2 linked regions of the Canis lupus familiaris genome follow. The protein of the gene in region 1 binds, or shares a complex with, the protein of each later gene. Links are inferred from orthologs where the notes say so. Each region holds a gene or a part of one and is shown on either strand. Other genes may lie near its edges. The genes, in order: VDAC1 and PPIF.

Region 1 (14,649 bases):
TCATGCAAGGCCTGAGACAGCTCAGCTTTCTTACAACTGCCAACAGCACCCAGAAAATGCCCATTTTTACACAGTTCTCAGCACCCACTGCAAAAACAATTTTTAGTGTAGAAATAATGATTTCCATTCATGTTTTCTCAGGTCGGGACCAGAGGGAAGAGAGCTAGGTATCCTGCCTTTTCACTTAACATCCTGCCTGTGCTGACTCCAAGGCTGAACTCTGGCCCTAGCCCCTACCTCCACCCACATTTGGTGAGCTCCAAATCGCTCACCATCTCTCTCTGTGACATCCACTCCATGTGCCTTCAGGAGACCATCCTCTGGAGGCTGACCACAAAATGGGGCACTCTGACACAGAGCTGACCCTGGACAAATGGGAATCAGAAGGCTGCCTGGGGGAAGGCGGGAACCTAGTTGTCTGCCTGGGGAAGGCTTCAAGAAAGAGCCCAGGGTCATGGTTCCCGAGGATATGTGGGACACAAGGGATGGACAGGCCTGGGCCGGGGAGACCTAACTTTGACAAGGACTAAGTAAGCCACAACAGGCAACAGGAGTCCCTGGTATCCCTCCACTGCCGCCTAGCCTACCTACCCAACCGTTCCCTGGCTGACCTTGAACAGATTACGCAAGCTCCACTCCAGTTGAGGAATGAAACTCCAGGCCCTACTGGAAGCTCAAAGCCTAGAGATAGTATATCGCCCAGCATGGCCTGCCTAACACTTACATAACCTCCGCCTAGAGGGAACATAGCTTCCTTGACTCATCAGTTGCCGAGCAGTGACGGCTGCTCTGCTCCCAGCGCCCCCACCACTCCCACAATGCACACCTACCCCCAAATTGCGCCCTTGAACTCAAAGCATCCAAGAGCCTGTCACGCCTAAATTCATCCAAAATATGTAAAAAGCTATGTGTCAAAGATGACAAGCCCTAGCACGTAGCAGATATTCAATATAAATGTCTGTTTAATGAGTAAATGTGCAAAGAGCATGAAAGCATTTTTATAGTAGGAGGAAAAAAATAGAAACTTAGTATCCAACAAGAGGGTCTAAGTCAATGACAATGTAAACCAGGCAGTAAGAGCTCCCTCCGCAGCAGGGGGTGGAGAGACCCACAACCAGCACCCTCTTCACCCACCTTGACCTGAGGAGAGCTCAACTCAAGCCGACAAGACTACGTGCCTGCGGAAGTGATCACTGCCTCTTCTGACCTCGGAACAAGGCATGGACTTTATTCTAAGGGCCTCAGGGAGCCACTTTAGAGTGAATGACATATCTGTGTTTGAGAGGCTCACTCAACAAACAAATTGGCAAAACTGTAAGTGAAAACATCCACTGTTGGTGTGAAAAATGGCCACTCCCATTCACGCCAAGTGTAAGTACTTTGTACAGTACAGCCCCTCTGGAGACAGTTGCCGGCCTGTGTCTAAGCGGGCATATATCAACCTCGTGGCAATTCTGCTGTTAGGAACCCACCCAAGGCACCCTAAAGATGTGTACATGAGGATGCTCACTGCAGCATTACTTTTAACACACAAGCTGGAAGTACCTTAAATGTCCATCGACAGGGAAATGAATGAATAAAAAAAAATTTTTTAAGATTTTATTTATTTATTAATGAAAGATACACACAGAGAGAGAGAGAGAGGCAGAGGGAGAAGCAGGCTCCCTAGAAGGAGCCCAATGCGGGACTCGATCCCAGGACCCTGGAATCACGACCTGAGCCAAAGGCAGATGCTCAACTGCTGAGCCACCCAGGCATCCCATGAATGAATAAAAATTAAAGTACGTGCAAACTAAGGAGTACTATGTGGTAGAAAGAACAGGATGGATTTATGCATTGTGGCAAAGAAAGCTATCTTTGATATACAGCTATCTTTGAACAACACGGATTTGAACAAGTCTACTTATATGTGGATTTTTTTCAATAAATACAGTATAGTACTATAAATGTGTTTTCTCTTATGATTTTCTTAATTATTTTTTCTCTACCTTAGTTTGCTGTAAGAATATATATATAATATATGCAACATACAAAATATAAGTTAATCGACTATATCTTATTGGTAAGGCTTCAAGTTAACAATAGGCTATTCATAGTTAAATGAGGGAGAGGTCAAAAGTTATACAAGGAGGTGCCTGAGTGGCTTAGTCTGTTAAGTGGCTGCCTTCAGCTCAGATCATGATCCCACGGTCCTGAGATTGAGCCCCTGCATCAGGCTCCCTGATACATGGGGAGCCTGCTTCTCCCTCTCCCTCTGCCTACTGCTCCCCCTTGTTTATGCCCTCTCTCTCTCTCTCTCTAATAGATAAAATCTTTATACAAGGATTTTCGACTGCTTGGGGGTAAGCATCTCTAACTCCCATGTTGCTCAAGGCCCTGCTGTAGTTAAATGAAAAAAGCAAGTCACAGACAATGTGTTAATTCCATGTTATTAGAGGAAAACCCTTTTACAAACACATTTGTATATTCACACATTTGTGAATGATGGAAAGGCATGTTGAAATGCTACAAGCCCATCTGTAAATTGTGGCTGCCTGGGAGCTGCTTCTGGAAAGAAGAGGGGGTTTATGGAGGTAGTAGAGTTAAAAATAGGATTTTCAATGTTTATTCCACTTTATTATTTAAGTTGTTGGGATACAATGATAATTTTTTTTAAGGACAGGAAATTTAAAAATCCAGCCAACGTGTCTGAAATTGAGCTATGTTTGCCTACACGACGCAATAAGTCATGTTCTAAATGGCTGTTGCAATAGAGGAGCCAAAAGGAAAAGCCATGTGGAAAGTATCTATCCTGGTTCCAACAACAGATGCAAACCACACTGAGATGTCACAGTTAACAAGCAAGGCCTATAGGGGACACATTCTACTCCCAGGTGACCACCTGTAGCTCTGGACATCCTGTCCAGGAGGCAGGAGTTGGACAGTTTCCTAATTTTAGTGTACATGAGAATCACCTGAGCCACTTGTTCAAAAGCCTCCTTCCCTCCCTCTCAGCCTTTCCTAGCCTAGCAAACAGGCAGGACAGCACTTTTCTCTGCAGAGGCAGAAGGATCCAGACACAGGAGCCCTGGTACCCTCAGAGAGCTAACCACCACTGAAGTGGTTCACACAGGAAGCAGGGTAGCCTTAAGTCCTCGAGGCTTAGTCAGGATAAGTCTTCTGAGCAACATTACAGCCAATGGGTTGACAGACACTATCTTCAAGGGCAAGGGTACAACAGAGCTAGGACCTAAACACCAGGAGCCACCCTGCTACAGCATTTCCCAGCCTATCCGGGTGCCCAGGCAGCAGGATACAGTGACTACTAGAAGGAACTATGAGTCTGGCAGAGGTTCTACTGGCACCAGCCTTTACTAGCTGTATAATTTTGGACAAACCTCTGATGAACTTATATTCTCAGTGCCTCATTTTGCTCCATAAAATGGAGCTAACAATAGTGTCTTTCTTGGCCAATAGGAGACACCAGCAAAAGATGGAAGAGTGAGGCTGGGGCACTCGTTCCCCAAGCTCCCTCCCTGCTGGGCATTAGGTGGGCACTGATGATCTTCCAAGGCCATGGCTCCTGCCAAGGGGCCCTATCCAGGTTCCAAAGGACCCAAAGTTGTGGGGAGGGGGAGGAGGTGGTGTGGAGCACATCACTTGTCAGGTGCTCCACACTCTGCTCACATCTTGGCAAATGATCCCTTCATTATTACTGCACATAAGTGCATACCTGATTCCTGCAAGGACCCCAACTAACATGGCAATCACCTCCATCACCATCACCACCGTCCTGGATTTCCCTTAGAAAGGGAAAATTGTAAGAAAGCCTTTGGTTCTGCTGTTTCTCTTAACAGCATTAGAGGTGGTTTGTCTGAGCAGAACTGGGCCAGCATATAGGAGGAGCATCAGACCAGCCAGGGATTAGAACAAAAGCACCTCCCCCTAACCCTGGGGACCAGGAAAAGCAAGTTCCCCAGGAGGAGGCCAGCCCAGCTCTGAAAGCCAACATACTGGGCCCACACCATCAGAAGCTGCCACACACATACCCATCCCACATTTTCTCAGGGAAAAGGCAGCCCCTTGTTAGGTCTATAGGATGCTGGCAAAACCAACATCGTGTGCTCTGGTACCAAGTCTGTGTTTCCGGCACAGCTGTCCTTCCCTCCCACTCCACGACAGTCTCACACCGGGCAGCCCGGCTTCCTAGGCATTGCTTCTATTTTCAAACACCCCGGGAGGTAGGCCACCACCAGCACAGCCTTCCATCAGAATCCTCAAGACAATGTAACTGACCCGGGGACACCCTGCCTGCCTGCCTGCCTGCCCACCCATGAGGTTTAGGTCCCATGCACACCCAGAGCTCCGGCGTGGCCTCAGACTCAAGTTACCTGGAGCCTTACTGCCTGGCTTGATCCAGTGGGGTTAAAATAGATAGTGCTTGGGCAGGTAGATCTGGGAGTCAAGCAGCCCTGAGTTCCAGTACCAGTTCACAACTCTCTGGATACGTGGCTCAGGGCAAGAAAAGTCTCACTTTTCTCAGGTTCTAATATGGGGAAAGAGTACCTATCTCAGCATCACTGTGAGAACTGAATTAGATGGGTAACATGAAATACTTAATACAGTGAATAGTGCCTGGGAGGTATGCAACAACCAGATAGTATTTTATTAGAGATTTACATTTTATGTATTTCTTATTATAATTACCTTTGCAATGCAAGTTATCAAAAGGCCACTCTCTACCTGACCATAATGAGGGACTGTTTAGCTGAATATTCTCCCAGTAGGTCCTAGAATGCATCCTATCTCACCCGAGGAAAAACTGACCTTTCAATCCTGACAGATGTCCAGGGTCACTGTCCTTGCGACAAAGAGGGATGACTCCACAGGACTGTGATCCACTGCAATCCACTGACAGCTAGCCTACGCCCAGCCATACACATGTTCACTCCGATTAGTGGGAAAGAAAACACTTCCCCTCTGAACAGCAAATCCTACCATTCAAAATGCATTCACATCTATTAGCTCATCCCAGTGGCCCCTTGGTGTGGCAACCTCAGTGCAAAATTGCCAGCCCTACCAAAAAAAGCAAAACAAAACAAAAACAAAAACAAAATTGCCAGCCCTGGAACTAGCCAGACAACCCTGAATCCCAAATATGTGCTCAAGCCTCCTGACCCATGAAAAAGAAACAAACCATAGTACCTCTCTCCCAAGGCTTGCAGGATAGTGGATTCAATGTTACAGAACACATGTTAAGCCCCCAGGAGGGTGCTGAGCAGGCCCTCAATTAAGGACTATTTTGATGATGATGATGATCACACAGGGGAGAAACTAAGGAACAAGACATTGACTTGACCTGTACTAGATCCGGGGGCTCCTGTCAGAGCTGTGTTGTGAACTCAGTCTGCTCTCCGAGACTCCTTCTAGCACAGTTCTGGGTAAAGGGCATATAGATACCCACCCACACACCACTAAGAGCAAGCAATGAAAAGGAGGATTGTGCCCAGGCCGGGTGGAGGATCCCACTGGTCACATTTCCTCAGTGGCTACCAGAAGTGTCTGTAGGGAGCCCAAGGGCACAGACCCTCTGAGTACCCTGAGGGGCTGCCTGCAGATTTGAGCTGGCTCTCAACCACACATGCCAACAAAGTCATCACCAACAAAGAGGGTAGGCCATGAGAAATTCCATCAAGGACCAAGTGAACTTCAGTCCCTTGGGAACATCTTACAGGCAAAAGTGGAGGGCCAGCGTTTCTCCTTAGCACCAGCCTGAAGGTTACTGTCCACATCTGCCTATTGCCCAGCAGGACCAGCAGCCCACAGTCAACTCATCACTATATGGTCCCCCTAAGCCACTGTATTTGTGTCTACAGATAGCCCTTGCCTATTGCATACAGAATAGAATACAGAAATAAAACTAAGTAATCAAGTAAGAGCAGTACTACCCCCTCCCCACGGTCAAGAATTTTACTCTGGACAATCTCCAGGGTCAAGCATTTTACCAATCCACTCATCAGAAAGAGGAAAAGCACCAGGCCCAAAACCTTAGGAGAATCCCGACTCACTGGGGTCACCCCACCACCACCACCCTGCAGGCCCAGAAACACCAGTTCTACAAGTTTCCCACAGGATGTGAAAAAGTCACATAACGAAGGTAATAGGTTTAAAGCAGATTTCAAATTAGGAAACAGATCTGCGGGCAGCCCCGGTGGCGCAGTGGTTTAGCACCGCCTACAGCCTGGGTCGTGATCCTGGAGACCCAGGATCGAATCCCACATCGGGCTCCCTGCAGGGAGCCCGCTTCTCCCTCTGCCTGTGTCTCTGCCTCTCTCTCTGTCTCTATGAATAAATAAAATTTAAAAATCTTAAAAAAAAAAAAAAAAAAGGAAACAGATCTGCATCTCAGTGCTCCAGGGCTGTACATTCAACTGCGAGTCTTTAAATATCTGTGACTCTCTCCTAAGCAAGGGTATTTGCTGGAAGTGAATGAGTGTGTGTCCCTTAGGATGTCCAAGATCAAGAAACTCTGGTCTGGGCCTGCATCCACTACATATGCCCATTCAATAATTTCACAAATACTTAATGAGCACCTACTCTAAGCCACATGCTGCCATCGTAAAAACTATCCTTCTCTCAGTAAGGGTGAGTTGCTTCTTGGATAAAAAGCAAGATTGCATTTGCCCCCACAGACCCTTCTCAAGTACCTAATGTGGGTCAAGTGGCACCACCCCAGGCGCTGAAAACAAAGCTGCATAAGGCTTAAGCCTAACCCTGTAGAACTCAGTCCAGAGCTGGGCTGGAGAAACAAGGCAAGCCCTGGGCAGTCTGCCCTGGCCTTGCCAACAGTGAATGCAGAAAAGGAGGGATCCATTCTCTATCTCCTCCAGAGAGGTGAGGCTGGTCAAGGGAATGGGTCAAACAAGGCTAGGCTTCCCTCAGCTCTGCACCCAAAGGCAACTTCCTGCTTCAGCCTGACCTTGTCTGTCTATAAACTTCTATAAGGATTTTTCATGAATTATCCTGAAAATTACTCAGTGCCCAGTATACAAGTGCTTAGTAATAATGTTTAAAATAACAGCAGCTGGCTGTTTATTGAACCCTTTCCAGAACACCACGTGGAGTAAAATGGTCTGCAGAGGATGGGCTAAATCCTCCCAAAAAGCCTCAAGGCTGTCCAGCTTTCCCCTGAAGGCTTCGTGTTGACCAACTCATTTTATTCTTCCCAAAAACCCAACGAGGGAGAGCTGTAACTGCTCCTATTCTACAGATGAGAGCACTCAGGCCTGCTGAGTGTGACCTTGGACAAGTCACTGGGATTGCAAGTCCGGAAATCCAAGGGCTCCGAGCCAGTTTCGTGAAGGCGCCGCCGCGCTCCGTGAATGAACGAGCAAACAAACCGGGAGGCGCTCCAGAGGCCAAGGAGGCCACATCCCGCTCCCGCCGGGCCTCCCTTCCCAAGGCCTAGCCCCCCGCCCGGGCCCTAGAGGCCTAGGACCCGCGGACAAGGCCGGGCGCCAGCGTCCCTGGGCGTGCACCCACGGGCCGGGCAGGGCGTGCGGGGCCGGGGGCCGGGGGCCGGTGCGGGGGCCGGGGCCGGGGCCGGGGCCGGGCTGGGCCTCGGTCATCACAGCGGCTCATCCCCGCGGCCACCGCATGGCCCGCGCCGGTCCGTGGGCCGAGCCCGGCGAGCGTGGGTGGCGGGCGGTCCCCCGCCGGGCCGCGAGGGCGGGACCCAGGTCCAGAGGGCGCCGCCGGCAAAGGTCACCGAGACCTGCAGCCGGCCGGGCCCTCACGCGCGGCCCGTGCCCTTCCGCCCGCGGTCCCCGCGGTCCCCGCAGGCTCGAGCCCCAGCCGCAGGCGCCCCGGGGCGTCCGGCCGCCCGCTCCCCGCCCGGGCCGCCCGCCGAGGCCTGCTGCGCCCGCCGCTGCCCGCCCAGGCCCTCGCGGGGCGCCCCGCTCCCGCCCCGCTCCCGCCCCGCTCCCGCCCCGCTCCGCTCCCCCGCGCCGCCCGGCCCGGCCCGGCCCGGCCCTCGGCCCCCCGTCCGCGCGGCTCCTCCCTCCACCGCCTCCCGCTCAGCTCCCGCGGCCCGGCCCGCCCCCCCGGGCGCCTGCGGGGCGCGGGTCCCCGGCCGAGGTGCCTACCTCGCGGGCGGCGGCGGGCTCGGCGGCGGGCTCGGCGGCACCTACCGCGGAGGCTGCTGCGCGAGGAACCGAGCGCACGGCCGGGCCGAGGGCGGGGCGGGGCGGCGCGGACGGCGGCGGCGCGGACCCGCCCCGACCCTGCGCACCCGGGCACGCGAGCCCCGCCCCTGGGCCCGCCCCGGACACCGCCCAGGCCGGGGCCCGGTCCCCGCGCCCGCGCCCGCGCCCGCGCCCGCCGCCCCCTCCGCGCGCCCTCGGCGCCTGCCCCGACGCGGTGCCCCGGGCGAGTGCGGGCGCGCGGAGGGGGGCGGCGAGGGCCCCGGCGCGGGACGAGGCGGCGCGCGAGGGGTGCGTGCGCGGGGACACGCGTGCCGGCCGCGGCGGCCGAGGGCCAAGCGCCGAGCAACCCGGGTGCGCCGAGCTTTTGCGCTCCAGAGTAGCAGGCACTTTCCCCGGGAGCGAGACTGCCAGTGGCCATTTTCGGAGCTTTTGCGAAGTGAAAACAGCAAACCGCGCTTCGGCAGAACGTCCCCCGCTGGGAGCCCGAGAGCGCAGACGGGAGGCGGGAGCCAGCCCGGGCCCCCGGGGAGCCCCCGCCCCGCCCGAGCCGGCGGCCTCCGTCACCCAGAATTGCGCAGAGCCTCGTGGCCGGTCGGAGGGGCTGCGCGGCTTTGGCCTCCGCCAACAAACGTTCGTTCTCCGCGCCTCGGGGCCCGTGGAGGAGGCAGGGGCTCCGGGACCCCGACGCTCGCTCACCACCAGCTGTGGCGCCGATTAAAGGAGCAGGCGGCTGGGGCGGCGGCAGAGGCCAGAGGACAGGCTGCTGGGCCGAGGGCAGCGGGAGGAGGAAAAGGCAACTGACTGGTGTTCCGATGGGGCCCGGATGCCGAGAAGAAGGGCACCAGCTTATGGGGTTGGGAAGGGGGGGGCGGGGGCGGTGCAAAGTGCACCGGGCTCTGTAGGGGTCTCTGGTCTAAGCACGCTAAACCCCCTGAGGTCCTGGAGCGTGGAGCGCTCATGCTGGAACTCTCCCCAGGCCCACGAGCTGCTCCATGGCTAACTGGAGGGCTCAGAGCTTCCCAGCCTGGTCATTCCCGCTCCACACACAAAGGCCCCGGCACACTCCTGGAGAGGGTGAGGCAAGGAAAGCCACTGAGTCACCCATGAGCGCAGGAAAGCCGCCTTTGGGAGGACAGGACCTCAAGGAGGCAGGGCAGAGCCAGATAGCTCTAGGGGAAGATGGGGCTCCAGAAATGTCACAGGAGCTAGGAGCAGATATCTCACCCTGGGTCAGTAAAGCCCAGGTGTGATGCTTGGACCAAAGGTCCTAAGTGTTCCCCTCCTCTCCAGCACCTCCTTGCCAAACCACCTTTCAGGACCCTGATTGTGGGAAGAGTTCCCCATACCCCACCTGCTCTGGGTCCCTTCTGGGGCTCCCCCAGGTGTCACTTTCAGATGAATCACACGAGTGTTCTTTGACTCACTGGCTGTGTGACTCTGGGCAACTGGGCTAACTGCTCAGCTGCAATTTCAGAGGGTTGGGGCAAGTTTAAAATGGGAAGCAAGCACTCCAAAAACACTGAAGAAATCTGGTGCAACATGGCATCCTCAGACCCTAGTGTTGACTGCTCCCCACCACAGCCCCAAAGGAAGAGCTGAACCAGGCAGCAGGTTATGCCAGGCTTGGCTCTGCCACCTCCAGCCCCACCTTCCTTCTTTCTTGCCAGGTTCGGACTGGAGGGGGGGCACCTGACCCAAGAGCAGCCAATCAGGTCCTCCCTTGCAATTATGAGCTAATAAACCCAGGTCAGGTATAACAGTGTTTCTTTGGAGGGAATGACCCTTCTCTCTCTCCAGTCATTCCATAAGCTTTGATGGAGCTAACTCCATCCCTGACTCCAGGCCCTTTCTTGGACCAATCAAAGCACTGCACCCTACTGGCTACAGGATGGACCAATGATCTTCGTCAGACTTCAGGGCTTTTGAAATAAAGACTTGCGCTGGGGCACCTGGGTGGCTCAGTTACTGAGTCTGCCTTTGGCTCAGGTTGTGATTCCAGGGTCCTGATACCAAGTCCTGCAACAGGCTCCCTGCAGGGGATAAATAAAATCTTTATAAAATTTTTAAAAAAGACCCTAAGAATGAAACCAGTCCACAAAAGAGAAACAGACCATATCCTGGGGACATCCCAAGATAAGCACAATAAAAATTTTTCTCCTGCAGATCCAAAACAATGAGGTGTCCCAGATCTAAAACAGGTCCAAGAAGTTCCAACATCGTATCTATGATTTTTTTTAAATTATATATACATACACTCAGAGAAAAATATTGGAAAGAAATTTATTGGAGGATCCCTGGGTGACTCAGCAGTTTAGTGCCTGCCTTTGGCCCAGGGCGTGATCCTGGAGTCCCAGAATGGAGTCCCACATAGGGCTTCCTGCATGGAGCCTGCTTCTCCCTCTGCCTGTGTCTCTGCCTCTCTCTCTGTCTCTCATGAATAAATAAGTAAAATCTTTTTTTAAAAAAAAAAAGGAAAGAAATATATTAAGTATTAATGGAAGTTGTGTTTCAATTTCTGGGAGTTTGTGACTCCTGGTCATCAGTTTGTAAGTTTGGGCTCCACGTTGGGTATAGAGTTTACAAAAAACTAAACTTTTTAAAAGATCAGTTTATGGGACTGATTTTTTTCCTTTAGTTCTTTCTATATCTCCCAAATATTCTTTAGTGAGATATAATACCTTTACTATAAAATGAGAGAACTTTTTTTTTTCCTGAAAGCCAAATGAGGTTGATCAGGAGAGGTAGTATAAAGTGATGCATTCCTGGAAAGCAATTAGGCAATATATAACAAGAATCATAAACCTACTCCTTTGACCTGCTCCTGGGAACCTATGCTAAAGCAATCCCAAGAAGGGGTAATACTAGCTTCAGAAAGATGTATGGCAGCCCAGGATGGAATACGGCCTGGTTTCCAGCTTGAGCAAATTGAAGCTTACACCCTCTATAGAGCATTCATAGCCTTGAGGAAAGGAGGTCACAAAGACTTCCGGTGGGGTAATATTTACTACAATGCTAATTGCAGGCAATTGTGTATTAGTATTACTGCAACATGACATTAAAAACTGTAGAGACGGGAATGCCTGGGTGGCTCAGTGGTTAAGGGTCTGCCTTTGGCTCAGGTCATGATCCTGGAGTCCCAGGATCAAGTCCCGCATCAGGCTCCCTGCATGGATCCTGCTTCTCCCTCTGCCTGTGTCTCTGCCTCTCTCTCTGTGTGTCTCTCATGAATAAATAAATAAAATCTTTTAAAAAATAATAATAAAAATAAAAAATATAGAGACAGAATAATGACCTCCCAAAGATGTCTATGCCCTAATCACCCAGATCTAAACATATGTTACCTTACATATCAGAAGTAATTTAACAGACATGATTATGTGCAGGATCTTGAAATGGATAGGTGAACCTAGACTGTCCGGGTGGGCCCTCTGTACTCACGGTGGTGTTATGAAGGAAGACAAGAGACTCGGGGCAAGGGGAGGTGATGTAACAACAGAAGCAAAGGTCAGAGAGAAAGATTGGAAGATGCCTTTCTGTTGACCTTGATGGTGGCAGAAAGGGTCATGAGCCACGTGATGCAGACAGCCCGGAAGCTGGAAAAGATAAGGAAACAGAGTCTCCTCTCAAAACCTCTAGAAGGAACCAGCCCTTGCTGACACCTTAACTTTAGCCCAGTGAGACTAATTTTGAACTTCTGACCTGAACTAAATCTAAATTGTTTTAAGCCCCTAAGCCTATTGTAGTTGTTTTGTTTTTTAAGATTTTATTTATTTGACAGAGAGAGAGCACAAGCACGCAGAGCAGTAGGCAGTGGCAGAAGGAGAAGCAGGCTCCCCACTGAGCAGGGAGCCCAATGCAGGGCTCAATCCCAGGACCCTGGGATCATGACCTGAGCTGAAGGCAGATGCTTAACCGACTGAGCCACCCAGGTGCCCCCAGGTAGTTTTTTATAATAGCCTAGGAAACTAATACACAAACCTCGGAAGACAATACTATAAATGATTTGTTAGACTGCTTAGTCAGCTCAGAGTACTAAAACAGAAAACCAAAGACTAGGTTAACAGACATTAATTTCTCACAGTTCTAGGGGCTAGAAGTCTGAGATTGGGAGGGGGTGGGCAGCATGATTGGGTTCTTGGTGAGAGCCCCCTTCCTGCTTATGTCCTCACATGGCTTTCCTTGGTGTGAGCACAGAGAGAAAGAGGAAGAGGGTGGGGAAGGTGGAGGGGGAAGGGGGAAGGGGAAGGGGGAAGGGAAGGAGAGAGAGATCCCCTGTCTCCTCCTCTTTTTATAAGGGCATTATTCACATCAGGGGGCCCCACCCTCATGACCTCATCTAACCTTAATTACCTCCCAAAGGCCCCACCTCCTAATATATTCCCGTTGGGGGTTACAGTTTCAACATTTGAATTTGAGGGAGGACAGAAACATGCAGTCCGTAATAAATGGCAAGGTTCTAAGTGTTTTTGTTTTTGTTTTATTTTCTCTAAGTTTCAACTTTCACACAGTGTGGGAAACAAATTAAAATCAAACAATTATGAAAAGAAGCAGGGATTTCTGCTATGTAAAACCACCTGTGATTTGGAACGCAGATCTAATGTTACTGTATGGCAAACCTGAGCCTCATCCAGGTCCAGCTCTGGTACTTGTAAGGGCCCTGGAGAGGGACACCAGTGTGTGTGCAAGCGCCTGCGTGTGTGGGGGTGGGGCTGAGAGTATTAGGTAGAACTGACTTGGGCTAATATACTACCAGAGACCTCTGAGCTAAAAGAGGGTAGGACTTTGTCCTTTGCTCAGCATGTACTGGGTCCTACAAAAGATGAAGAAAACCAGGCAAATATTCAGATAGGATCCCCTTTACTGCAAGAGACAGGGAATCTCTTTTCCAGACCCCACCAGTAAGTGGATGCATGCAGCATGGCCTGAAGACAGAAACAAAAATGCCTCTTGCCCTTGACTTGCATGCACTGCTCAAAGGTCTGGGACTTGAGGAAGAATTTCCCAATTTCTGCACCATGTCCTCTGCTAACAGGCAACACATTATTTGAAATGTGCGTGAGGTCAGATGCAGTTAAAATGGCCTTGTATCTGGTCCCAGCACGGTAGGGCTGCCCCAGGGATGCTTGTTTCCAGGTACTGTTCGTCCAAGGAGTCCTGTGGCTTACATGCTGCGCAAGCACAGGCAAAGGGGATGTGTGGGGCTGAGATCCTGTCCAGACATGGCTCAGGAAGCCTTGGGTCCTGACAAGACTGTTGTCGACCACAAGGAAGCAGTTATGTTTCTGCTGCTGGGCACCTTTCCGAAACCCATATGGAAGCATCCAATGGCAGCTGAGGCCCATGTGCCCCTACACCAGGCACACTCGTCCGTCCGTCTTTCCCACTAAAAGCTGCCTTTTCCTGCCATGCAATCTAAAGCAGGTTCTTTTCTCCCCTCTCTTCTTACTCTGAGGTCAGCCCTCTGTTTCCTTTTTAGCGTGTAGCACACTTCAAAATTCTTTCACACTTGTTTTGCTCTTGATTCTCCATCTCCCTCCTTAAAATGCTGCTCACATTGCAGGTGTTCAGTAAATGGTGAGTAAACAAATGTCTAAATAGATGGTGAGTGGCACACACTGTAAAAGGAGGTGACTGACTTCTATGCAGGTGGCACACTTTAAGGACCGCCGTTCTCGGTCCTCCTGGCCAGACAGCTAGAAATCGTGCCCAAGGATTGTCATTGATCATCCAGGAGGAAAGGCCTCAAAGCCTTATTGTGGGTGGAGGGCTGTTTAATCTGCCTGTGTAATAAGGAATTTAATCTTACTTCATTCTAAGAGAGGTCTGGAACTTGCCCTTAGCTTCTGGAAAATAATCTCTGAGCCCTTGCGAGGTCATGCCAGATAGGACTATCTTCATTTAGGGTGAGGGCTGGCCACACAGGATAAACTAACAATGTGATTCAGAGGAGGGACCAGTTACTAACTAGATAAACTAACAATGTGATTTAGGGTGGGAGCTTTGAGTCACACAGTAGCAGCTGGACCTCCAGAGGGACTGGATGTTGATATCAGCTACGTGGACAATTGACTATGGAGCCCCAGTAAATCTCTGGTCACCAAGGCTCAAGAGAACTTCCCTAGTTGGCAATATTCCATATCCATCACTGTAACCATAATGGCCCTTGGTGAGTTCTGCAAGTCCTTTTAGTAAATTATTACATATAAAGGTGATCTTGACTGGGCGGCCCCGGGTGCTCAGCAGTTTGGCGCTGCCTTCGGCCCAGGGCCTGGTCCTGGAGACCCAGGATTGAGTCCCATGTCGGGCTCCCTGCATGGAGCTTGCTTCTTGCTCTCCCTGTGTCTCTGCCTCTCTCCATCTCTCATTAATAAATAAATAAATAAATAAATAAATAAAGTCTTTTTAAAAAGAAATTTAAAAAAAAAATAAAGGTGATCTTGGAGACCCTGAAACTTGCAACTGGTGT
Region 2 (14,462 bases), on another chromosome or scaffold:
CTTGAAGGAAGACGCACAGCCCAGCAGAACTGGGAAACATTTCAGACTCCACATTGCTGTGGCTTCGGACAAAATCGCTTACCCTCTCTGGGTCCCCATTCCTTCGTTTGTAAGATAAGATAACTTTTACTGTGCAGGGTCCTCCTAAGGACTGGGGCAATGATTGGCAAGTGCTTAATGCAGAGCCCGGCATGGAGTCACATAGTGAGGCATCATCCCTTCCCAGAGGCCACGGAGATGCCCCGGCCCTGCTCAGGCCCACCGTCCTGAGGACTTCCTCCCAGCTCCTCTCTCACAGCCTGAATTATATGCACCCTCAGAGGAATGAGATAAAAATAGCCAGCCCACTGCACGTCTTCACCAAGACAGGGCAGCTCTGTCTCCCGGGGCCAGTTCTTTCCATCTGTGCCCCTGAGGTCTTTGCCAAGAGCAACTGATGACACAAGCCCACTGAGACAGGAGATCAATGAGTGCCTGTGTGTGGAGCAATGGGGTCAGAGCCGGCCTTTCTAGGACCCTGGTTGGAGGTGTATGAATTATCTGTTGCTGCCTAGAAAGCAACCGCAATACTGAGGAGGGGCTTAAAAGAACGAAAATTTATTTTCTCACTTTCTGGGGGGCAGATTCCAGGTGTGGTTTAGTTGCATGCTTCTGGCCCTACATCTCACAATGGGGTTGCAATAGGGCCATTGACTGGAAGGACCGTCACCCCAAGGCTCCACTGGATCTGTTGGATCTGCTTCCAAGCCCCTTCACATGGCTGTTGGCAGGCTGCACAAGATCCACATCCAGATCCCTCACGTAGTTGCTAGCCAGCCTTGGTGGCTCACCACGGGGCCGCCAGAGGCTGCCTGAGTGTCACAGCATGGTAGCCGGGGAAGAGAGAGAGAGAAAGCCCAAGTCAGAAACCACAGACGCTTTGTACCCTAGTCTTGGAAGTGACATATTCTGTTCCCTGGGAGGGAGTCATTAGGTCCAGCTCACATCCAAGGTGATGCCTCCACAGGGGCGGGCATGGGGAAAAAGGTGGAAAGAAGAAAAAAAAATCGTAACATTTTTTTGAGAGTGGAAAGAACCCAAGCCCAGTGAGCCCAGCTCAAATGCTGCCTGTTCTGTGTAGCCCTGGGCTGCCTGCCACCCTGCAACTTAAGAGTCCCAGCCTCTAGAATCTTCCATCCACTGAGCTAACAGACCAGCCCAGCCAGCCTCACGGGCTGTTCCGTGGATCAAAAGATCCAGTGGCTATGGATACACTTAAGGAAGCCCCTAAACACGGAATGCCAGTCTTGGGCAGATGGTAGTAAAAAAACAAAACAAAAACAAAAACAAAAAACAAAAAACAACACTCCTTGGGGCACCTGGGTGGCTCAGTCAGTTAAGCAGCTGACCCTTGATTTCGGTTCAGGTCCTGATCTCAGGGTCCTGGGAGGGAGCCCCGCACCAGGCTCGGCCCTCAGTGCAGAGCCTGCTCCAGATTCTCTTTTCCTCTCCCTCTGTCCCTCTCCCATGAACGCTGGCTCTCCCTCCCTCTCTCTCTAATACATAAATAAATAAAATCTTTTTTTTTTATTTTTTTTTATTTATTTATGATAGTCACAGAGAGAGAAAGAGAGAGAGGCAGAGACACAGGCAGAGGGAGAAGCAGGCTCCATGCACCGGGAGCCCGATGTGGGATTCGATCCCGGGTCTCCAGGATCGCACCCTGGGCCAAAGGCAGGCGCCAAACCGCTGCGCCACCCAGGGATCCCAATAAATAAAATCTTAAAAAAAAAAAAAACCACTCATAAACCGGCCATGGGCACACCTTAGGGCGCATATCCGCAGGGCACAGTATCATTCCCTCAAGATCACCCGTTCCACTCTGGCTGTGAGTCCTCGGCTGGCTGGGCTAGGTGGGGTGCATGCACCCATCCACCAAGGCCCCCGTGTGTCCAAAGCCCTTCACCAAGTCCTGCCCCTTAACACGGACCCTTCTGTGACAGTAGCAGCTGTTTACAGATGAGGACACTGAGGTCCCAAGAAGCCAGAGACGACCTCCCTGAGCTCATCCGTACATGTGCTTTGGTCCGAGGGTTTCCTCCCGGGTCAGGCCGCGCGGACCCCTCTCATAAAGCAGCCCCGCCCCAGCCCCTGCCCAGCACAGCACCTTACTTCAGGCGTGCGCGACATGTACCACCGTCCAAGAGCATCTTCCTTCTCCTTTGCTTTTTTTTTTTTTAAATTGTTGTACCCTCTCTTTTCCCTGTGAAAACATGCGTTTACTTTTCTGTCCAATGACCCCCGTGTCTCTAAGCCCTAGAGGAGTGGCAGGTGCACAGCAGGGTGCAGAGCAAAGCTGTGGAGTGAATGCGTGAAGTGGGGGGCTGGGTTTCCAGCAGACTTCTGCTGTCTCAAAACCCACACTTGGAGGCCCCGGGGCTGGCGGACAGCCGCCCCTTCCCCGGAGCCTGCCTCCGCGAGGCTACCCACCCTCTCCCTTTGGGGGCAGCTTCTCAGGAAGGCCTCCTCAGCCCCCAGGGCCACCCAGCTCACGCGGCCTGCAGATGTATTCAGCAAGTGAGCTCCCACCCTCCTTGCCCCGTAACCCGCAGGGGAGCTGGGGCTGGGTCGGCTCCCAGGGGCCCACAGCACCTACACACGCCACCCCGCGAGCCCGGCTCTGGAAAGGGGAGTCTCCCCAGCCCTTCCTCTTGGGCCTCCCTCTGGTCACTGTCTACCCCCCCACAACCACCAGCACCCTGGCCTGGAGGGAAACCTCCTTGCCCGCCCCCCTCCACTTCCCATCATGCTCTGCCACGGCGTGCTGGGGAACTGAGCGGCCCAGTGGTTCCCGGAAGCCCAGAGAGGCTGCTGGCTTCCAGCTGCTCCCTGGAGGCTGGGAATGCCCGGGGGAGGACCCAGAGTGCAGCCCTCCCCGTGGCCTGCTGGCAGGGTCCGACTCGCTTCCTGAGCTCTCAGCCAAGGCCTCCTCTCCCGGGCTCCCCGTCAGCCCCCATGACTGGTACCATCCTGGACCCCAGGCCCCCCAGTGGAACCAAGAGACATGAAAGCCCAGGCCTCCTTCTACCTACAGCACACTGTGCAGTGACTGATACTGGCAATGATGGCTCATGGAGACCGCCCCCCTTACCCACATCAGGGCCAATTCCCTCCCAGCCCCTCCTGGAAGGGTCTCCAGGGGCACCGTAATTGCATCCCTCACGACAGCCACCATATGCACCCCTGCCACGCACCCTGGCTGCCTGGGAGAGGCCTACTCAGTGGCACCCAAAACAGCCTGTCCCAGACTCCATCCTGTATCCCCAGGGCAAAGCTCAGGCCCGACACGTAACAGGTTCTCTGAAAACATGTCTGCTGAGCGAGGCGAGTCTTGCAGAAAGGGTCCTGGCAATGGTGAAGAGAGGGCTTCGTCCCCAGTCCTGGTACTTCCAGGCTGTGTGACCACGGGCAAGTCCCTGTCCCTCTCTGGGCTTCAGTTCTCTCATCCAGATAGCGGAGATCAGAACTTGCAAATTACTGGCCCAGAGGTACCATCTGCGTTGTGGATATGGTGTTTGTGGCTCGTTCAGTGTTTAATTTTATTTTAAAATTCCCAATGTTTAAAAATTGGGAGATTCCCATAAAACCTGAGGTTTTCAGCTTTTATTGAAAAAGGAGAAGATCTTGGCTCTACTGGGTCCCTAGTCTCACACACACAGTTGGCTGGCCGGGGCAGCAGCGGCCCCTTTACCTGGGGTGTGGACACAGCGCAGTGCCCCCTCACTCCCTAGACCTCGCCCAGTATGCTTCACTTGTGTGTGTCACTGCCCAGCCCCCGCAGGCATCCGAATTTGTCAGCCCTGAATGTCAGCATCACCTGTCTGTTCTTTGGCTCTATGACACCTAAAGGAATCCTACGGGATCCCCAGGTGACAAAAACCATTAACACCCTGGATGAGAAGCCACTTCAGCTGAGTGGAGAGAAACTGCTGTTTCTGAGGATGACACAGAGTCTATAAATAGCCTCGGAGCCAGGTGAGTACGGACACCTGCCCAGTCTCACCTGGGCCGGGAGTCCTGGAGGGCGGGGCATGCTTCCGTTCATGGCTCAGCCCAGGGAATGTCCCTCTTCCTGATGCCGCTGAGGACAGTACAGGTAGGGATGACTTCACAGTTCAGCCTGTGGAGAAGGTGGAACTTTTCTCTGGCTTGGGCAGGAAGCAGTGATGACATTTGATTTTCCAAACAGGGTAGGAGTAACACGAGTGAATGAGGCCAGTTCCCAGTCTGGGGTCCTGGGGATGGGGCCACTGCACCATCAGTGGCTCCTCTGGGCTACCCAACAACGTTAGACCTCAGCCCTGCCTCCAGGACCCCCCTGTGATTGCCCCCTACTCACACCCCAGCCTTTCAGCTTATGGTCAATATTGCATCACAGCCCTTCCTTGAAGGTAGCCCAGGCTGGCTCTGGCTCACTCCCCCTCTGGAAGCTCCTCTCCATCTTTGAGTCTCTGCCCCTCAAATGTGGTTGTCTCCAGGCTGATCCCCCAGGCGGAAGCCACCTGCTCTGTCCCTTGAGTTCCACAGTCTTCTCTGGCTAACTCCTCAGCTTCTCTCCTACTGCTTGTCCCTCTTAGTCCCGCCACCCCATTTACCAGCCCCATGATGGCAGCAAGAAGAGTCTAGTCTAAGCAAGGACTCAGACAGAGTCCTCCCCGTTCCAACACTCCAGCCCTGGGCAAGTCACCCTCCCATCTCTTAGGGCTTTCCTTCCCCATCTATGAAATGGAACTGCCTCCCATGCTATGGTGGGAAGCAGACAAAAAAAGGGCTGGGCAGGGGCTCTGAGAATGAAAAGGATTGAGTGAACGATGGCACTCAACCATCCTGGGTTAGGGCTGCTCATGCTTCCCTGGGGTGGGGGATAAGTGGAGGCCCTCCAGGAGCAGGCTTGGAGGACAACGGGGTAGCACTAATCCACCAGCATAGCTACGGACTGTGTGAGCTGAGGACCTGGAATGGACACTGGGGTGAGTCCTCTCTTCGTCTTTCAAATCTATAGTATGTAGTGATACAGTAGGGATCTGGGAGATTGCTGAGGGCCTGGATGGGGCACGGAACAAGCCGGCTTCCCACTCAGGCCTGTCCTACTTTAGGGCACGATAGTCATGAGAAAGGAGGAGCCATTCCCCAGGACCGAGTGAGGCTTCATCCTGGGCTGGAACCTGGGAAGCCTCCTGGCTCCAGGATGCAGCTGGAGCATCACTGAGTGACCAGGGTCCTCTTGGATCAGGATTAGGGAAAGGGACTGTAAACTTCTAGAAAAGGGCCAAGCCAAAACTCTCATGAGCCTAGAACCTCATGAATTTCCTTGGGCCAGTATTTTGCCATCTGACTCCTTCCCAGGAGCTGACTCAGGTCCCAGCTCAAGCCCACCTGACTCCAAGGTCCAGCCTCCACCCTCTTCTTGGGCCCCTTGGACCTCGGAGCCCCGGCAGCTGAGACCCACTGCTATCTGAGCCCTAAAGCTGAAGTAAAGATGGTCTAGACCCTGTCTATTGCTGATGCACAGTACCTAACAGTTGACACACTCCTCTCTCTCTTGTTCATTTTACCCTGGAAACAAGCAGGGTCAGGATTACCATTATATCCTTATTCTCCAGAGGGGAAACTGAGTCTCAGAGAGGTCTGAGAAGACTGGCACAGGCTGGCAGGGGAAGATCCAGGCTGCTCCTGGCCCTGGGCCATGCCTTCCTCAGTATGGGTCCTTGTTTCCCATTTGGAGCGTTCAGGTTTGCCAAGATGCTCTCCTGGGGCCCCTATTATTTACTCACTATGGGCCTCCCACACCTACCAGGTTTCTATGAAGCCCCCCTCAACCTGTGGGATAAATCCTCTTCACCACGGTCCTCAGTTCCCCTTCTCTTCCTGCCTTGCCTTTTCACTTTTCCTTGCATTGCCTATGAACTGGGCCCTGTGCTGTTACCTGCAGGTGCGTTCTTGGGGTGACAGGGGTGGGAGGGAAGCCAGCAGCTGCCAGCTGACCCAGTTGCTGGGGACCAGGCCTGTCTATGGGATTGGGGAAGGGGCATCAGACTCACCCCTGGTGGAGGGCTGGGGCCTGGCCAGAGCCTGCTGGGCACCTGCTGAGTTCCAGCGATGTGGGAAGAGGATGTGGTGTCTAGAGGCATCCGGGGACAGGGCCAGACCAGGACTAGGAGGCCTGTGGTCGCCAGGGGAGGCGTCACTCTAATCCCCCTCATCTCCTCCTCCTTTGTCTCTCACTCACGTCTCTCTTGGTCTCTCTGTCTGCAGGGCCTAAGGGGGGACAGGAGGCCTATACGGAGGGCTCAAATGTAGATTTTTGTTATATTCAAATAAAAACATATGGCTGCTCATATTTTGGAGCTGACCGCGTTTTAGCACAGTTTCCCGCTTTCTTTTTTTTTTTTGTTTTAGTGTGTCGGGGCCCTTGCAGAGTGGAACCGGCCCCCTTTTGCCAGGTCGTGCGTGTCCCCGCTGTCCCAGGCCTTGGGGGTTGCCCCAGCCGCCGGGCTGCGCTGCCCGCCGGGGCCGCCAGGGGTCGCCCGCGGCCAGGCCCGGGGGGGGCGGGGGCGGGGCCTGGGGCGGGGGCGGGGCCTCGGGGCCGGCCCGGCCCTTAAAGCGGCGGCGCGCGGCGGGGCTGCGTCTGCCTCCCGGTCGCGCGTGTCCGCGGCCGCCGTGCCCTCGGTGCCCTCGGTGCCCTCCGTGCCCTCCGTGCGACCCCGGCCGCGATGCTGGCGCTCCGCCGCGGCCCCCGCCTGCTCGGCCTGCTCCGGGGCCCGCGCGCCGCCCCGCCGCGCCTCCCCGCCGCCCGGGCCTGCAGCGGCGGCGCCCGCGACCCGCCGTCGTCCTCGGGGAACCCGCTCGTGTACCTGGACGTGGGCGCCGACGGCCTGCCCCTCGGCCGCGTGGTGCTGGAGGTGAGCGCCCTGCCTGCCCCGGGCCGCGCCGGCCGCCCCGGCGACCTCGCCCCCGCCCCGCCCCCGCCGCGGGCCTGTGTCCCCGGCCCTGGGCGGCCTCCGAGGGGGGTCGCGGGTCTCGGCACCGCGGGGCGGGGCGGGCCCGGGGCGCGGACGAGCTCAAGGTCAGGTCGGGCAGGTCGCCGGCGGGGAGAGCCCGGCCTGCAGGCGAGCGGCGGGGCCGGGGGCACGTCCTGACCGCGGGTTGGCCCGGGCCGCACCCCGACCCAGGCTGGGGGCTCGGGGTGCCCCCGCGGGCGGGAGGGCGCTCACGTGGCGGCCCTGGCGGAACCCGGAGCCCGCCCCGCCCCCTCGGTGGGACCCGCCCGCCTGCGGGCACCGGGGAGGGGCGGGGGAGGGGGGGGGAGGGGGGAGGGGGAGCGGGCAGGAGCTGGGAGGCCGCCCCGGAGGGCCCCCCTGCCCTTCACCCCAGCCCCCCCCTCCGGCTCCCGACTCACAAGGTAAGACCCAGAGCGGAGGGCGGGAAGCGCAGGTGTGGCCCTCAAGGAGCTCCCTTTTGAACCGAGACGCCCCCGTCGGGCTCAGCGTCCTCTTCTGGAGGATGGAGACGAGACCACCCTCCTTGCTCCCGTCTGTTTGAGCGGTTCCCGCCTGGGTTCTGGAAGCTGGGAGGCGAGAGCCGGGCTTACCCCCCCCACACTCCCCTGCCTCTCTCTAAGCCTGTTTCGCTTCAAGGCCTTGGGGCGCTTGGACTGGCTCCTGGGGGGGCCAGAGCCCCCACCCCCTCCCGGTGTGCTGGGGGCCCAGCTGCAGAGCTGCACCAGTTCCATCCCCTGGGAGCAGGCCCCCTGGGAGCAGGCCGGGGTGGCACTGTCTTCTCTAGCCATAGATAAGGAACCCGCGGCTGCCTCCTCCCAGCCTGGGTGCAGGAAATGACCGGCCAGAGGAAGGCTGGGAGCGCCGCCCATGGAAGGGGCTCTTGGGCCACTGGGATTGGGTGGTGAGGAGGTTCCTCCGTCACCTGCCTCCACACTGACCACCTATTCGTGTCCCTGGTCTCTCCCCACAGCTGAAGGCCGATGTCGTCCCAAAGACGGCAGGTAAGACGGGGTTTGGGGCCCTTCTGAGTCTGGTCTAGATGGAAGAGAGGGGCCAGGTGGGGAGGATGGCGAGAGGAGTCGGGCACAGAGACCCAGCACCAGATGGGCGTTCCAGAGAACGTGAAGCTCGGCCGCTGGGTACCCGGGCAGCTCTCTGCGCCCCTCTGCCCTGCAGTCCAAAACAGCCTTGCAACTGGTAGAAACACCTGTAAATTTCCATGGGGACATCTTCCTCCCTCCCGGTGCCCAATGGGGCAGGGTGGTGGCTCCGTGGCCCGGGGACTCCATGCCGGGAGCATGTGCTTGGACACCAGGACACTGAGCTTTGAGAACATGACTTGTCCCGGGTCGCCCAGCCAGAGCAGGCCCCGGGGAGCGGGAGTGGGGGTGGGAGGGGGAAGGGGTGCTGGCTAGAAGGAGGCGCGCCCCTCAGCCTGGCCCTGCTGACCTGCCTCTTCCTTCAACCCTCAGAGAACTTCAGAGCCCTGTGTACCGGGGAGAAGGGCTTCGGCTACAAAGGTTCTAGCTTCCACAGAGTGATTCCGTCCTTCATGTGCCAGGTACTGCGGCCCTGTCTGCCTCGGTGCCTCCTCTGTGAAGTGGGGGGTGATGATGGCGGGGACGACCTTGTATGGTGGTTGTGAGGCCACCTGGGTGCGAGGAGATGCCGGATGGACGGGGCGGGTGACTGTCTGGGCCTGTCTTCTCGCCCAGAGTTGGTGGAGCTCATGTGGGCGGCCGTAGCTTCCCTGCCCTGGCAGTTGAGCGACAGGATGGCCTGGCTGGCGGAGCTGTGGGGGGCGAGCGGACACGGAGGCCCCGATGTGCATGGGGACGGGTGGGGAGGGGGGGGACGGTCAGGCTTTGGAGGACCACATCCCCCATGTGTCCCACTGAGTGCTTGGCGTGCTTGGAGTGGAAGAGGGGGAGGAGGAGGGAGGGAGAGAGACAGCACTGACAAGAACACACAGGTCTGGACCCGGAACTTCGACACCAGGGCCTCTTTCTCAGTTACTTGAATGTTCTTCAGTCACGTGTGCTGCATGTTTTTAAAAAACACCAGTATCGCTGTGTCGGAAGTTTTGGGATAGAAGTGGACAGCGAGAACTTCCCGAGGGTCAGGACCCCGCTGACAGGGCTTGGTGTCTTGAGGCCAGCAGACTGTAGAGGCAGGGCATGAGTGTCATGACCTCTGTGAGACCCGCCAGCCCAGAATGTTCTCTCCCCCATTCCCTCCACTCAGGCCTAGGGCCGCCCTCATATTGTGAGGGGCGGTGGGCTGGGGCTCGGCCTGGGCCTGCTGATGGGGCGAATGAGGTGAACACAGGGGCGGGAGGGGAGGTTGTGGCAACGTGGACAGGTCTGGCCAAGCCTGTGGCTCTCTGCTGCCCCCAGCTCTGCCCAAGGGGCTGTCCTGAGCCAGGTTAGGGTCTTCCTCTGAATAGCAGCAGGCGGGCCAGGGCGCTTCCCAGGCTGGCAGGCTCCCTGGGGCATGAACTGGTCCCAGGAGGCCCAGGGCAGGGTTTTGAATCAGGCGCACCTGGGGACAGCCTGCTGGCATTTAGGTCTGGCTGGTCAGGTCACTCCTGTCACCCGAGGAGCACAGCTCAGGAACACAGCCATGAGGCCTTGGCCAGGGGCTGGGGCTGGGGCGCCTCTGGCCACAGCTTCCTGTGAAGCCTCAGGCTGGAGTGAGGAAGGATCCCAGGCCTGGGCAGGTGGGGGGGTAGAGTGGGGGCAGATGGATACGCCATCCTGGGTCTGCAAGGTATAGGGAGGCCACCTGGCTGGTGAGGAAGGAGATGCCGGGCAGGCAGTGGGGCTCAGCCTAGGGAACTGGCTCTCTGGCAGCTGCCGCTCCCCCCCACAGAGCAGCCTTGGGAACAGGGACCCCTGGCCACCTCCCTGTCTCCCCTCCAAGAGTTGCAGGTAGAAAATTCTAGGTCACTACCTATGAATCTTCTCAGAATGGCCATTAGATCCTTTAAGAATCATTTAAAAACTTGCCTGGATAAAAAAAAAGTGAATCGTTTGGAAGGTAGGGAAGTTATTCATGGCCAAAAATATTTAAGCTTTTATTTTTTCTTACTTTCTTTGTTTTTTAATTAGTCCGTACATCCCTGGATGTTTTTTGACCCCCTGGCGTGCAGGGCTGCCGGCTGGGTGGGCCCTGGGTGGGTTGGGGGGCTCCCTCCCAGCGCCGGGGCAGCACCCCCGCGGCCAGCTCAGGGTGGCAGCTGCTCAGGAGGTGCTCTGTGCTCGCAGGCGGGCGACTTCACCAACCACAATGGCACCGGGGGAAAGTCCATCTATGGAAGCCGCTTTCCTGATGAGAACTTCACGCTGAAGCACGTGGGGCCAGGTGAGCGAGCCTGCGGTTCCCCGGTCCGGACGCCCTGAGCTCTGGGCCGGCGTTTGCAGCCTGGTGACTGATTTCCCAGAACCTGGTGATGCCCCTTCCCTCCTTCTACCCTCCTGGTCGGGGTGTTGGTTCTCCTGGAGCTTTTTCATGCCAAAATAGAAATAAGCCTTCCTTGGAGAAACTGCTAGAGAACGCCTTTGGGCAAAAGCCAGTGTCGGTTCACATTTAAGACCCAAGGTGCAGTTCGCAGAAACGTGGAGGTCGGGGTGCACAAGTCCCTCCCATTCCAGTCTCCACCATGGATCACGGGACGGGCCCTGGGGAGCTGTCGAGCGCTGGGCCCTGCTTGTCCTCGCCAGGCTCCAGGACCTCAGACCCAGCCGTCCCTGCCGTGGCGTGAATGACTTCCCAGGCGGGAGGTGCCTCCTGGTGCAGCGTGGCTCACTCCTGCTTGTTTTTGCAGGTGTCCTGTCCATGGCAAATGCAGGCCCCAACACCAACGGCTCCCAGTTCTTCATCTGCACCGTGAAGACGGACTGGTGAGTCCCCACGCCTGACTCCAGGCCCTCTGGGAAGGAGGAGGATGCAGCTGGAAGAGGGTTGATGTGCTTCCGGGGGAAGGTGGTGTGAGACCGGACCGTGCTCTGGGACAGAGGCTCTCACCCGGGCTATGTGTCCGTCCGTATGGGAGAAAGACGAAGTGCATAAAAGGAATGAGGGAGGATTCGGGTCGTTCTTAGAACCGTGTCTTTGTTAGGTCTCTGCTGCTGCGTGTGCACATGCACACACCATGGGCTTTTACCAAATACATCTGGGACAGGCTGCAGAGCTTCTCAGGCCTCAGGGTGGCCTGTGGTGAAAGCCTGTTTGCTTGCTTTAACATGTTGTTCTGGCCTTGAGCTTGGAGCACACCTCTGGCCCACACGCCTGTGGATTTTAGGGATGTCTTCCCTGGCACATTTCCTGTTACCTCGTAAGTTCGTCTGTCCAAAGTCCCCTGTGTCCTAACCCTGAGGCACATGGGGTTGAGGGGACAATAGTTGACCAAGAGATAAGACTTATTAAAGTCCATTTCCTAGGACTCCAGGGAGACCTGAGTGGCAGATGGATACTAGCTGTCGCTGACCCCAAGCCAAGAGGGACACGGGTGTCAGGGCAGGTCGTTGCTGGCTCTGGGCTCCTTCTGTGGAACCCCTGATAGATCCTGCGGTTCTGCCCTTGGCTGGATCCAGAGTTGGCCTTGCTGGCACCAGACTAGACTGCTTTTGGGTTCTTGGAACTCTCTCAGATTGGGACTTGTGATCTTGGCTCTCACCTTGCCACGCATGACCACGAAGATGGTTCCATTTACACGCACCTCTTGTTTCTTGAGAGTAGCTTGATACCCTGTGATCTCCGTGGGCAGAACAAGAATAATTCACTTTTCATAGATGAGGTTACCAGGATCCAGGTTAAGCGGCCCAGGGCAAGGTCACACGGCATGTGAGACAGAATGTGCCCTGGAAGGGAGGGATCCCCTGGTGCGTTTTTGGGGAGTTCAGCGAAGCTTGATGCCGGAGCTTTGGGGGTGGGTCCAGATTTTCAGTGTGAGTCCCTGTCAGAGTTGCTAAATAGCTAAATTGATGAATAGTTCCATGACTGAGGGACCATGATGACGTTGGCGGACACTGCACTACTCTTATTCGTACTTGACTCCCCTCACAGGTTGGATGGCAAGCATGTTGTGTTTGGCCACGTCAAAGAGGGCATGGACGTAGTGAAGAAAATAGAATCTTTCGGTTCCCGGAGTGGGAAGACGTCCAAGAAGATCATTATCACAGACTGTGGCCAACTGAGCTAACCTGCCCCGGCCAGGGCGCAAGGGTGGTTGCAGCTGCACTGGTGTTGACTCACCTGGACGGCCGCCTTGGGCCCCAGCAAAGGTGCCCCGTCAAGTCGCCTGTGCTCGTTCTACCATCAGTGTGTCTTTGAGGAAGGCCTCTCTAGGATGTCACATCTCCACAGGGCCCAGCACACTGCCTCCCATGTCCACCCTTCCTCACACCCCATTTCAAGACCCTGGTCGTGAACACGATGTCACCGTTCCTCATCAGGCCTTCTCCGTGACCCCCCAGCCCAAGTTCACCTGTGCCTCTCATCAGGCCTTCTCTGTGACCCCCCAGCCCAAGTACACCTGTGCCTTGGATGTGGAAGCAGCGATGGCTTAGCTTTAGGGACGGGTTCCTGCCTTTTCCTCGGCCAGGGCCAGGAAAGCCAGCCGCTGTAAACAGGCCATTATAGCTGTTCAGTGGTACCTTCGAATCAGAATAATTTAATGCACGAGGTTGCCCCGAGATGAAGCTGTGACATTAACTACCCTGTGCCGTCATATGACCTCAGTTGGCGGCAGAAGCCATGGGAACCCAGAGCTTGGCCTTCGGAACATTATCGGGGCTTTTGTGAAGGGTCCTTGGCCCTGGCATTTTCTCCCGGCCTCTGTGAATCCCACTGGTTTGCTGCTGTGGTTTTTGAGGAGAGTCTGGGGGGAGGGAGGAGAGAAGCAGACAAACCTGGGAATAAACCCACTGCAAGCTGTGCCTAGTTGGTGAAGTGGTGAAAAATGGAAATGGCCCACACATGCCGGGGGCTCTGGAGGAAAGTAATTGTGTATTTTCGGAAGGGCTTTGATTTATCTGTGTTTAATGTACTGATTATGTATATAATTCACTTTTGGGACATTTGTGTTCACTTGAAATGTGAAAATAAATCCTATTTTCTATAGAAGACTGTGTGGTGTCTGGTGGTCTTAGGAAGCAGTGTTTATAACTCCAGGATTTGGAGCCAACTTTTATTTATTTATTTTTAAGATTTTATTTATTTATTCGTGAGAGACACAGAGAAAGAGAGAGAGGGACACAGGCAGAGGGAGAAGCAGGTTCCCTGCAGGGAACCTGACGGTGGGACTCGATCCAGAGTCTCCAGGATCACGCTCTGGGCTGAAGGCGGCGCTAAACCGCTGAGCCACCCGGGCTGCCCTGGAGCCAACTTTTACTGGCGTTACCACACATGGGTCCGGGGCTCTGCTGAGGGTTTTTACCCGGATGATCTCACGTAATCAGTCCAACCAAGGATGTACTGTTGTCATCCTCATAGACGAGATGGGCCCAGACAAAGGATCTTAGCACCCACAGCCTGTCAGTGAGCACTGGCTCCCCACCCCATCCCCCGAATCACAGCTCCCTGTCCTAGTGACCCCGAGTCTGTTTTGGGGGCTGGCTCACAGAGTGGGGAGAGGCAGATGCGATCCATGTAAAGGGCACAGTGTGGGGCCTGGCTCGTCTTTTTAATATACACTCCGGAGTCCTAGGGCTGATGAGATCTCCCATGTGTCAGAGTCTTAGACAAGCATCTGTGATCATCTCCAGTTAGGTGTGGACTTGACTCTCCTAGATTTGCCACTCACATTGGGGATTCTAGATGATTCTGAGTCAACAGGGAAGGCAGATTGGAGTGGGAGAGCGGGATTCAGAACTGAAATGGCCAGAGATGGCACAGTTTGAATAATAGAATAATCACATTCTTTTTTTTTTTAATAATCACATTCTATTCACAATACGAATGGAATTATTTCACCTTGGGATTCCCAGAGTCTAATGGTGTGTGCTGCCTGTCATTCTGAGGTCACAGTGGCCACAGTTGGGTCATTTGGAGGCTTTCTATGATGTCAGTCTCCAGAGTTTAGCTGCATGGGCAGGGAGCTCAGCTGGCTTAACAGTTTTCTTAAGAAAGTCTTAAGAGATTATGCCTGGGTGCCTCAGCGGTTGAGTGTCTGCGCTTGGCCCAGGGCGTGATCCTGGAGTCCTGGGATCGAATCCCACATCAGGCTCCCTATAGGGAGCCTGCTTTTCCCTCTGCCTGTGTCTCTGCCTCTCTCTCTCTCTGTCTCTCATGAATAAATAAATAAAATCTTAAAAATTCTTAAGAGCCGTAGGGGTTCTCAGAACAAGGGGGAGACAAGGAACATGGGCCCCCAACCCCTATCTTCAATCAGATACCCTCTTTTTTCTTGTTGGGGCTCTA

Evidence for each region.
Region 2: VDAC1 (region 1) and PPIF share a complex: the UniProt entries of both Homo sapiens proteins name them as parts of the mitochondrial permeability transition pore complex. The link is inferred for Canis lupus familiaris from reciprocal best matches to the Homo sapiens genes VDAC1 and PPIF.

The regions. Positions count from the first base shown.
Region 1 is NC_049232.1:22,224,544-22,239,192, forward strand, and holds the start of VDAC1 (voltage-dependent anion-selective channel protein 1), read right to left. Parts: upstream 8,769-14,649; 5' UTR 8,748-8,768; intron 8,224-8,747; exon of another isoform or gene 8,124-8,223; intron 1-8,123. UniProt on the Homo sapiens protein: Non-selective voltage-gated ion channel that mediates the transport of anions and cations through the mitochondrion outer membrane and plasma membrane.
Region 2 is NC_049225.1:29,794,773-29,809,234, forward strand, and holds PPIF (peptidyl-prolyl cis-trans isomerase F, mitochondrial), read left to right. Parts: upstream 1-6,752; coding exon 6,753-6,941; exon of another isoform or gene 6,942-6,995; intron 6,996-8,010; coding exon 8,011-8,041; intron 8,042-8,512; coding exon 8,513-8,601; intron 8,602-10,306; coding exon 10,307-10,403; intron 10,404-10,866; coding exon 10,867-10,942; intron 10,943-12,107; coding exon 12,108-12,243; 3' UTR 12,244-13,166; downstream 13,167-14,462. UniProt on the Homo sapiens protein: PPIase that catalyzes the cis-trans isomerization of proline imidic peptide bonds in oligopeptides and may therefore assist protein folding. Involved in regulation of the mitochondrial permeability transition pore (mPTP).